Linked DNA regions of Drosophila melanogaster. The protein of the gene in region 1 purifies or fractionates together with the protein of each later gene. This does not show direct contact. Each region holds a gene or a part of one and is shown in the gene's direction. Other genes may lie near its edges.

What was found.
Region 2: the proteins of Ama (region 1) and Nrt purify together in Drosophila melanogaster (affinity purification with western blotting; 3 studies listed by BioGRID, with this or other methods). This does not show direct contact.

The regions. Positions count from the first base shown.
Region 1 is NT_033777.3:6,760,444-6,765,893, forward strand, and holds Ama (amalgam), read left to right. Parts: upstream 1-2,149; 5' UTR 2,150-2,536; coding exon 2,537-2,553; intron 2,554-2,736; exon of another isoform or gene 2,737-3,073; intron 3,074-3,389; coding exon 3,390-4,398; 3' UTR 4,399-4,818; downstream 4,819-5,450.
Region 2 is NT_037436.4:16,764,203-16,769,086, forward strand, and holds the start of Nrt (neurotactin), read left to right. Parts: upstream 1-1,869; 5' UTR 1,870-2,338; intron 2,339-4,884. UniProt on the Drosophila melanogaster protein: May mediate or modulate cell adhesion between embryonic cells during development.

The DNA.
Region 1 (5,450 bases):
ACAAGCATTAAGTTGCTCAGTGCATTGGCCCAAGCTTTAACATTTTAAAACACACCCAACGAGCCAGTTGACCTTTAAGCAAGTGTCGCAAGGCCTTAAGTGAAATATTTTTTAATGACATTTGCCAAATAATTGTCGTGTTTGCTTTTGGGATCTGGCAGGAGCTTGTTGCTGTTGGCCGGGCTTTGCTGCTTCTGCCGCTGCCAACTGGCAACAAAAGTCAATTCACAGACACTCCAGTCGACGGAGTCGGAGTGCAGCCAAAAGGCAAACAAAATACGTTCGCATAGGCAAAGCCCAAGGATACACACAAAGGTACAGTGGTTGCTCTGACTACAAATACAAATTAAACAGGGCCAGAGCTTTAATACCAATTCGATACCATTGCAACAACAGCATTTCAAATGCTACTTTTTTATATCAGATAAAGATAGGTAGAAAAGGCTATATTTACGTTAAAGGCAAGCTGATATTTTAGAAATTTATTCAAAAACAAAATTAATTACTTTGACACATAATATTGTATTTAGTCATCTGACTAGAAACTAGAAATCTCTGAATGTAACGAAGTTCTGTGCATTCTTACAAATATTACAAAAAGTATCTGCTAGATACCACTGTGCGGAACTGGGCCACAAATTCAGACGCAGTGTGTGACAAAGGACTTCTCCCTTCCCCGCTCGGCGACCCTGAATGCTGAATGCCCCCGTGTGTGCCGCTGCTGAAGCGAAACACCCAAAGAGTCACTGACAGAAACAGGATTCGGGTAATAAATTACAAAATTTGACATTTTCTGTTTTGGATCCGCTTGCGCCTGAATGCGAGCGGCAGCCCTCTCTGTCGCACGCCGTCTAGCCGTCTCTTTCGTTCGGTTTCGGTGTGTGTCCAGTTCGGTCGGGCCAAGTCGAGCGTTGCATGAAGCAGCCGGACCTGCCAGGACCTGGACCAGGACCTGAACCTGCATCCAAGAGGCATCGCCGCAATGGTCATAATGACGCTGCCGGGATGCAGCTGAGGACAAGGAGAGCCGTCAGTGGGCAGCGAGAAAGGGACGGAATAGAAGCGCCCTATGCGGTCCGTTGATAGTTAACTGGAAATTTATTATTTTACACAATTTACAATTATCTGATTCGAATGTGCACTCAGCGACGAGGATTCCGGCAGATGGGCAGTACGAGTGAGAGTGCGGGGGTCCAAGTTCGGACGACAGATGCAGTTGTCCTCCCATGGGAACGGCCTCATTTCAGCAGAAGTCACCGAAACGATTTAAGATGTGATTTAATTTTCCAGAAACTGTGGCCATAGTTTCGTCGCTCTTCGGGGGAATTTCTTCGCCAGACAGACAGCGTCGTCATCAATCATCTCGCAGAGTAAAGCCGGGTTAACCTCGATGGGTTTTAGGGGGAAACTTGGCCCGGGGCTGATCAGGAATCAGGCTGGAAATATGAAAATTAAATGCGTTTGGGCAGCAGAAAGTTTTCGAATGGTTCGGTGCTTATACAACAAGTGAAATTTTGCACATCAAACGGCCTTTGACCACATTTAATCCTTAAATCATCTGCCATAGGAACTAATTGATCGAGATCCAGACACATATTAAACACATCAATATATATACACAAATATAATCAATATAGACTATGTTATATTTCGACGTTTCCTATCCTCGTATGCTGTGAGTACACATATTAACCTTCAGCCGTGTAAAGAAATTTCTACGAACAGCCAAGTTAAAGGTACCCAAATTTCCCGAATACTGCTCTTTAAATATCCTTCAGAATTTCCCAGCATGGCTGAACCAGGACTCGATTCAAGTTCCACCCAATGCCTTGTACACCACCCCGTTGTTTTTGCCTTTTCGCGCATGCGCCCCTGCTCCGGCGCAAAAGAGACAGCACTAATGAGACGGCGCTGGGATCGCTGGCATTTCCAGAGCGGCTAGGATATTCCAGGGACCGCTCGTAATCGTTGCTGTTGTTGTTAGCCGCCAGCGGAAAGTAGTGCGCCATGCCATAAATCACACAAATGGGTAGAGTTCCAACTTTCCCACCCCGCCGCTGCTCCTTTTATTGTCCTTCCACGAACCCCGAAACGTTTATGGCCAAATGGCGGCACGAATTTGAATTTGAATTTCGCACGCGGTCTCTCAGTTCGCCTGCGGCCGCTTTCGCTGGCGCTTTGTTTTTGCAACTGACCGCTTATCTTGGGGCGGGGGCTGTCAAGTGGGCGGGGCAGGAGGGCCACAGGCAGAGGCATAAACAACAGCAGCGAGCAGCAAAACAAATCAATTAAAGACCAGAAGGAAAGTGCATTGATAACTGAGCCCGAAGTCAAACTCACGCACAAGTAAACAATTTAAATACGAACTAAAATGCAAACACAGATACAAAATACAGATAGAGATACTGAACAAACACAGATACAAATACTGTGAAGGCGACAATGTACATAACCGAGGGGTGATAAGATCCAAAACGTCGATGACTTCTTCATCGGCAAATACACTGAAAAAAGCTGTTACTAATTATTAAAAAATATGCAATATAATAAAAGGTAAACTATTTTTTTTACTAAATTTTAAACTATTTACTAAACACTGCCATTTAAAATCTTTTTTCACATCCTTAACTACAAAAAAATTAATTTTAAATCAAATTGATTTCGTTTACCTGGCTATTCATTAAAAAAAAAAATAAGTATTGATATATCGGAAAACTAAGTTATCTCCGTTTTTACCAGTGTATCCATTAAGAAGCAACGTTGTCTAGACACAGCCGCGGTAATCAATCATAATGGTGTCTATCTGCTTCATTCTCGCGGTGTACAAATTTCGGGACTTTCCTTGAGAAACCGAGCCATCGACGTCGGCGCGTCAGGAAGAATACAAAAATAAGAACCCGATTCTCAGAACCTCAGCAGAGATACGGATTTTTGAGCCGAGCTCGGTCGCCTCTTTCAATTCAGTCGAGTCCCGAACGCGAAGTGAAGCGCATTGAACCCACATTGAACTGAGAGATAGTCGAGGAAAAAGAGTCACAAAATCAACAGCAACATCCTGTAAATAAACAGAAATGTATGAATTATATTAAAATAAGACGATAAAGCTGAAAAGTGTGTACAAGCCTTATAAATGTTTCAAAACGAGTGTGTGTGCAGAATTCTTTCCTTCTTATTTACTTTTGAAAGATACTTTTAAAGATATACTTGTGACCTTTAAATTATTATTCTATAATTGAACCTAGTTTTAGTTTATTATATTGAATTCGAAGATGGGTTAAAAATGGCAGTTCTCCATTACATACGAAATATTTAGAATGGCTAACGCGATCAAAAGACTCAACATAAAGTGATACACTAATAAATCTCAAATCTATTTTGATTTCTTACAGACCAGACATGGCGCGTCTGCGGCTTCTAATCGGTCTTATATTCTGCCTTGCGATCAGCTTGGATTCGGTGCTTAGTGCCCCAGTGATCAGCCAGATCAGCAAGGACGTGGTGGCCAGTGTGGGCGACTCTGTGGAGTTCAACTGCACCGTGGAGGAGGTGGGACAGCTCTCGGTGAGCTGGGCCAAGCGTCCCAGCGAGTCGGACACCAACTCGGTGGTGCTCTCCATGCGGAATATCCTCAGTCTGCCCGACCAGCGGTACAACGTAACGGTCACCGAAGGACCCAAGACCGGAAGTGCCATTTACACCTTCCGCATTCAGAACATCGAAGTCAGTGACATGGGTCCGTACGAGTGTCAGGTGCTTGTTTCGGCCACGGAGAAGGTGACCAAGAAGCTGAGCCTGCAGATCAAGACCCCGCCGGTGATTGCGGAGAACACCCCCAAGAGCACCCTGGTGACAGAGGGACAGAATCTGGAGCTGACCTGCCATGCCAATGGCTTTCCCAAGCCTACGATCTCCTGGGCCCGCGAGCATAATGCAGTGATGCCTGCCGGTGGCCATTTGCTGGCCGAACCAACTCTCCGGATTCGTTCCGTGCACCGGATGGATCGCGGCGGCTACTACTGCATCGCGCAGAACGGAGAGGGCCAGCCGGACAAGAGGTTGATCCGGGTCGAAGTGGAGTTCCGTCCGCAGATTGCCGTCCAGAGGCCCAAGATCGCCCAAATGGTGTCCCATTCCGCGGAGCTGGAGTGCTCCGTGCAGGGCTACCCGGCTCCGACTGTAGTTTGGCACAAGAATGGCGTGCCCCTGCAGTCTAGCCGGCACCACGAGGTGGCCAACACCGCCTCCTCCTCGGGAACCACAACCTCTGTGCTGCGCATCGATAGCGTGGGCGAGGAGGACTTTGGGGACTACTACTGCAATGCCACCAATAAGCTGGGACACGCCGATGCGCGACTGCATCTCTTCCAGACCGTCATCCCAGTGCCCTCCTTGTCGTAATAAGCCCTCAACGTCTGATTTCCATTCCCACGCAACAAGACTGGAACCCTCACTTTCTCCTCTCGTCTCGCTTTTTCGGCAATTCGCCAGTCCGGATGCGGTCTGTGTTTATATTATTAATGATTCATTCAATTAGCTCCCATTCAGACTTCATTATTTTCGGACACACTTGAGATCGAGCCACCGCTTGTGCCTTATGAATTTTGCTCTGCATCCGTCGGCTTGTGCAAACACACATTAATATGCTTAAGTAAATAACGTTCTCTGATAAAGTTTAATCGGTCTTTTCCTATGTGGTTGGGTTGGCTTGTATACGGTGTAAGTTAAATACCATGAGAGAATAAACACCTCTTGAAGCAACGAATTAAAGGGTTTGTCATTCAATAAAACTAAGCCAGGAGACAAGGCATTGTCAAAAGTATTTCATTGTTTTATCGAGAGGGAATCTAAAAATATATGGTAAGTGCAGATATAAATGAAAAATTAATCACTTCTAAACAACACCCAATGCTCCATGGATCTTATTAATTTATAACAATAAACAATTCAAACTTTACACTTTAAAAGCCACAGTTTCGTTAGAATGATGGCTAGAACATCCAAATCTTTTAAAAATCCATTAACTTTTTTGGATGCCACTTTCCAAACCCTAAATAACAGATCTTTCAAGATCTTCTTCCTTAAAGCTGCCATCTGAGTCCGCAAGGTCCCACCTTGACACCAAAAACAGCATGTAACCTCCATTCTGAGCTGGTATTCCAACGGTTAACGCTGCCGAAGTCATTTGCCAAAAAGTTAACCGAGCCCGCTCAAAGTGCCACAGCGTTTAACTCTTCAATCATGGTTAAAAAATGGCAGTCAGTTGTTCACCTCTTGACGTAAACACTCACATGGTCAAAATGCGGAGTGGGTTGTGTGGCGAAAAGTGAACCCGAATGTAAGTTGTTCATTGTAATTGAGAAAAATGCGAGGCATTTGTAAGGCGGTCCAACGAGCTGGGTCTGCCACTGGTACATGAACTATTCGGGAGCTTGTGCGGGGATCCAGTCCAG
Region 2 (4,884 bases), on another chromosome or scaffold:
AACAACCCACACAAGACAGGAACATGTGTTCACTACTCCACTTCCTTTCCTTGGGCGTCCCACATTTTGCGGGTTTCCTCGTTACCATTTGCGATCATGATAATGATCCGATGCGATCATTTTGATCCTTCCCCTTCGACGTGACGGGCATGCGTCAAACTCAAATACGTATGTAACTCGAGCCAACCTTCACTTTTATTTTCTAGTTTCCTACCATATTTATTCCTTTTTTTCGGTAGCAGATGTCGCCTAACATCATGTCTAATGAAATGCTTCAGTAGCTCCACAATGAAATAGGGAACCCTCATAGTTCGGGGCGTGAAAGTTGTTGACATGTGGGTAGGAATTCCGTGGGGTAATACCTTTGGAAGAACAGGGGAATCGACTTCTAATACATTTCTAGCACGTGTCGTCATGGCTTCTGTTCTAATAATTCAACCGACACAAGTTCAATATAAATATTAAACTATGTACATACATAGGTATACAATGAAAATATTGAAATATTGAAAAATATTTACCAAACACTTTAGTTAAATGGGTAGCCTAATTGTCTGAAGACATATCTCCTACATTAGTTGATTACTCATAAATCATAAGCGTAACATTTTTATAAAATAGAGCACATACTATATAGTAATTGAAAGTATAATACTGGGGGAGTGCCCTTTATTAAATAAACTGCAACAACGTATGTTTTTCTCATAACTGTGGATGAATCATTCTGTTGATTTGCGTATCGCTCAAAATAAATGCATTAAAATCTTCTTTATAGTTTTCATTGCGCAAAAGTTGATTGAAAGAATCATTATATTTTGTCTTTCTTACCAAATAAGTGAATTTTCTCAGGGGTAGGGATATGAAACCCTATGCGAAAAGGGGTGTTGGGTTGGAGGTAGCCAAGGGTAAGGGTTTGTGCTGTAATGACGCATCAGGACGTGGAATTTCCCTACATATGCCAGATGTTCCCATCGGCATAAACTGCGCTTCAACACTTGCCGCCAGTTGATAAGCATTTGAAAACGAGTTTCAAAAACCGAAATCAAAACCTTTACTCAAACAAAAGTGCCATATCAACAAACTTCTTTCCCTTCCCCTTGCCAGCTTCCCTCTCTTTTTAAGAAAAATTAATAACAAAGAAATATAGGGAGATCGGCATCTACTTCTATTTGAAGCATGTACAACTCAGAAATTTTTAATAACTTTAAGTTTTATATTTATAAAGAGCTGTAGACTACGTAATACCTCTACTTTGGGTTTTGGGTGTTGACTTGAACAATTTATAACAATTTTACCCTATGTTCTCCTACATGTTCTATAAAGTATCTGATCTGATCATAATATCTGAGGTGTCTTGTTTCACTAACAATAAACGCTTTACCAAAACTACAATACCTTTTTCATAAAATCACCATCGAACATTTTGCACTTACTGTACAGGAAAACAAAGCCGCTACTTTTACTGCTGCTTTCCAGCCACCCCTATGATTTATAAATTTACAATGCCGGCTGCTTCCAGTTCCAGTGCACAGTGGTCCAGTTCGAACTAAATCATAAACATGAATTATGATCATGTCTAATAAGTTTAATTAAATTACTTATAAAATATTACAACAATTCGTTGTGTAGGTGTTTTCAATGCTAATCACTGTTGCTTGACATAATTTGTATACTATTATAAACTTACAAGTTATATCTTAAATTATGTTTTTTCTTTTTTTCAAGAGAGAAACATGTTCTCGCCGAAAACACGTTCCACTTCCAGTTCCCCGAATAAAAACAAATCCAAGAAAATTAACATTAACAGTTGCTGTTAAGACTCTGTTAACCGTTTCGAAGCCGCATGAATTGCATGACATCGAAACGGCGTCAGTCAGTTTTGTTCTGTTTTGGAAGCCGCACGCGTTTTCCCTCGCTCCGGTTGTGCTCGCTTTCGCATCGCACACACACACACACTCTCGCCGCACAGACGCGACCAAAAGAAAACAAAATCAAATTCGGCGCAAACAAGGAATAACTTTTTATATTCCTATTGTGCATCGTATGTTGTATTAAGTGCAAGAAATATATTTACACAAATCTAACAAAAACACCGCAACTACTTTTGTGCATTTTGTTTTGCTCTGTGCCGAAGGAGCGGAGAAAAGAAAAAACCGCAACAAATCAAAAAATCTGTGCGTTTGTTATACACACCTAAGTGTCCTGCAGGAAGGACATCGGGTTCATTTACGCCACCCGCTGTTTTCAAGGACCAACGGATTATTCCCAATTGCCACATTTCAACAAGTTCGAAAAAAGCAACACACATTTTACACAGTGTTTGCGAGAATTGAAAAAGGTAAGATTACAAATTCGTGTGAAGGACCTCGGGGATTTGTAGAAGAGGAAGAGCAGTTGAAAACAAATCGATGAATTGTAAATGAAGTCAAATTTGTCTGCCAACTTTAATAATTTAACAAGTGAATATGGACACTTCAAACTTGAAAGATTAAAATGTGATTATAATTGAATAAAACAATTTACATGCATATTTATTTAGTTTTATACAAATGTAAAGATTTTGGCCAAAAAGTTTATTGAAAAACGCTAATGCCGTAGCAATTGAAATCTGAGTTATTTGTGAAAAGTAGAAGATAAAAGATATAAGAGCTTAATTTGAAAACTTTTAAAATATGTCGGTATCCGATCTTGACGGCTCTAAATTAATTTATAATCCTCCACAATCCATAATTACCGAGGAAACATCTTACCAAAACAATTTAAATGGCGTCTCGAAAAACATTTCATTCCGAGCTCTTAATAAGATTAATGGGGCTTCACGATTCATTGATATAATCCCTCCGTAACGAAGCACACCCACCCCATCGTCATCATCATCTTACGCGTCTTGAGGTCTAATGGCTCGTGTCAATGATCAGACGGACTCTTTCCCTCAATAATTCCCATTTTCCATCCTTTCTAATGGCTTGTGTCGCGGCTCCGTATGAAAAACATAACCATTTGACATAAATCACGGCCCTGACAAATCCTTTTGAACATTTCATAAACATAATGTGTGTTAATCCTCAGATATTTCAATCCATCAACATCCAGAGTTTGGTGGATGGAGTTGCCCCAAAAATAGCGCGACCCCTTTGGTATCATTTGTATGCACAGTCAGACGCCGGCTTGAATAAATCCCCAAATAGTCATTCCGTAAACAAATGCAAAGGAAATTGTTGAAGGGATACGGATACCGGGAAAAAGGGCAATAATTCAATGATGAATTAATAGGCGCATGGAAATGATCACGAATTCCCGGGATCTTCAGAGAAAGTTCGAGTTGGCAGCTGCTGCTCTTCGATTCGCTCCAGAAAAAGAAAAAAAGACTTCCGGGGAATCGAGCAACTAAAAAGTGAGAAAAGCATCAACAAAGCCAAACAGAGGCACAACAAATGGGGTAGGAAAACGTGAAGATGCCACGCTGACGCAACATTTGCATTCGGAAAGAGATTTATGGAGGCAACTCCCCCGCCCATTGACTTTTCGCTCCAACTTCCCTCATTGTTTTGCCAAGTTTTCAAAAGACAAGAGCCGACATGATGATGTTGATGTGTGTGCCTCAGTATCTCATTTTCCCAATTTACCCCAAAATGTGTGTAATCAAAAGTTTTCGTCTTTACAATTCAATTTTAAATTGTTGTTCCTATGTAAGTGTTGCCTGCTTTCCACTCGAAAAGTAAACAACAATTAAGGAAAAACACAACAAGGCAAATGCAACAAGAATACAAAGCACGATTTTCAACACTTTTTCTCGCTCTCAATGATAAACAAAACTCGGCTATTTACATCTGGAGTTCATGGTCAAACAGTTTAAACAAAAATGGAGTTTTCATTTAGGAAATTGTAAATCCATCAGCAATAAGAACTTGAGAGTCAAGTGCTGCGATACGATCCCAAAACTCGAATCCCCTCAAGAGCTGCTGACAATTGACTAATGAGGGTTACAAGAAACCCCAGCGCAAATCATAAATATTTGTTGTTGACAATTCCAATGGCCCTGCAAGGAGCCTGGCTTCAAGGAATTCTCAGGGTTCTTATCGCGGAGGAAATCTTCGCTTATCTGCCTGAAAAAGGCAACGTGGTGCTAGAAAATATTGTGCAATAAAATGGAATGATATAGTGGAAGGACAGCCATGAGTTGTGAGGAAGGCAGTGTATGCAGACTTAACAGATACCCAGTACTTCCATTTAAGAAACAACTAATTGCATACATAATATTGGTTAAATGCACCAGGAACTTCGTGGTTCAATGCACTCAGTTAATGTTATAACATTCTCCAACAAATATTCTTGAATATAAGATATAAGATGTGTCTACCTCATCAAATCCAAGAGTACGCGGTATGCACAAACATTGAACCAACCAACGCAACTCAGGGCTATCCTATCCCATATCTTCAAGAGTTGTTTGCCCCTCGAGAGTAATTACAAATTCATAAAAATGGCCTGTTTGAAGTGGAAATCTCGTTCCGATTTTGTTTGCTCTTCCCACTCCAAACTCCATTTATTCCATTTTTGTTGTGCCAATCCCCTTGTCCTGGAACTAGGCGCCTTCCGCTGATCCTTTGAGGTTTGTGGGACTCTGTGCCCCTTTACCAGTTTCCGCTCTCTACCTGCCCCAGGAGATTGTTATCCATCAAAATAAAATGAGGGGAGACGACTGTGAATTCGCATCGCACGTGTATAAACCTTTGAGTCTTGCGGTTTCTGGTTTCTGCCCCTTTTGTACTGGAAATAAATTCAGTCTTATATTTCTTATGAATTATTATAGTATGTCCTCAAGTAGTTCTTAACAAACAAGTTTGTATATTTTTAAAGGTTTTCAACATTTGTTGCAACTTG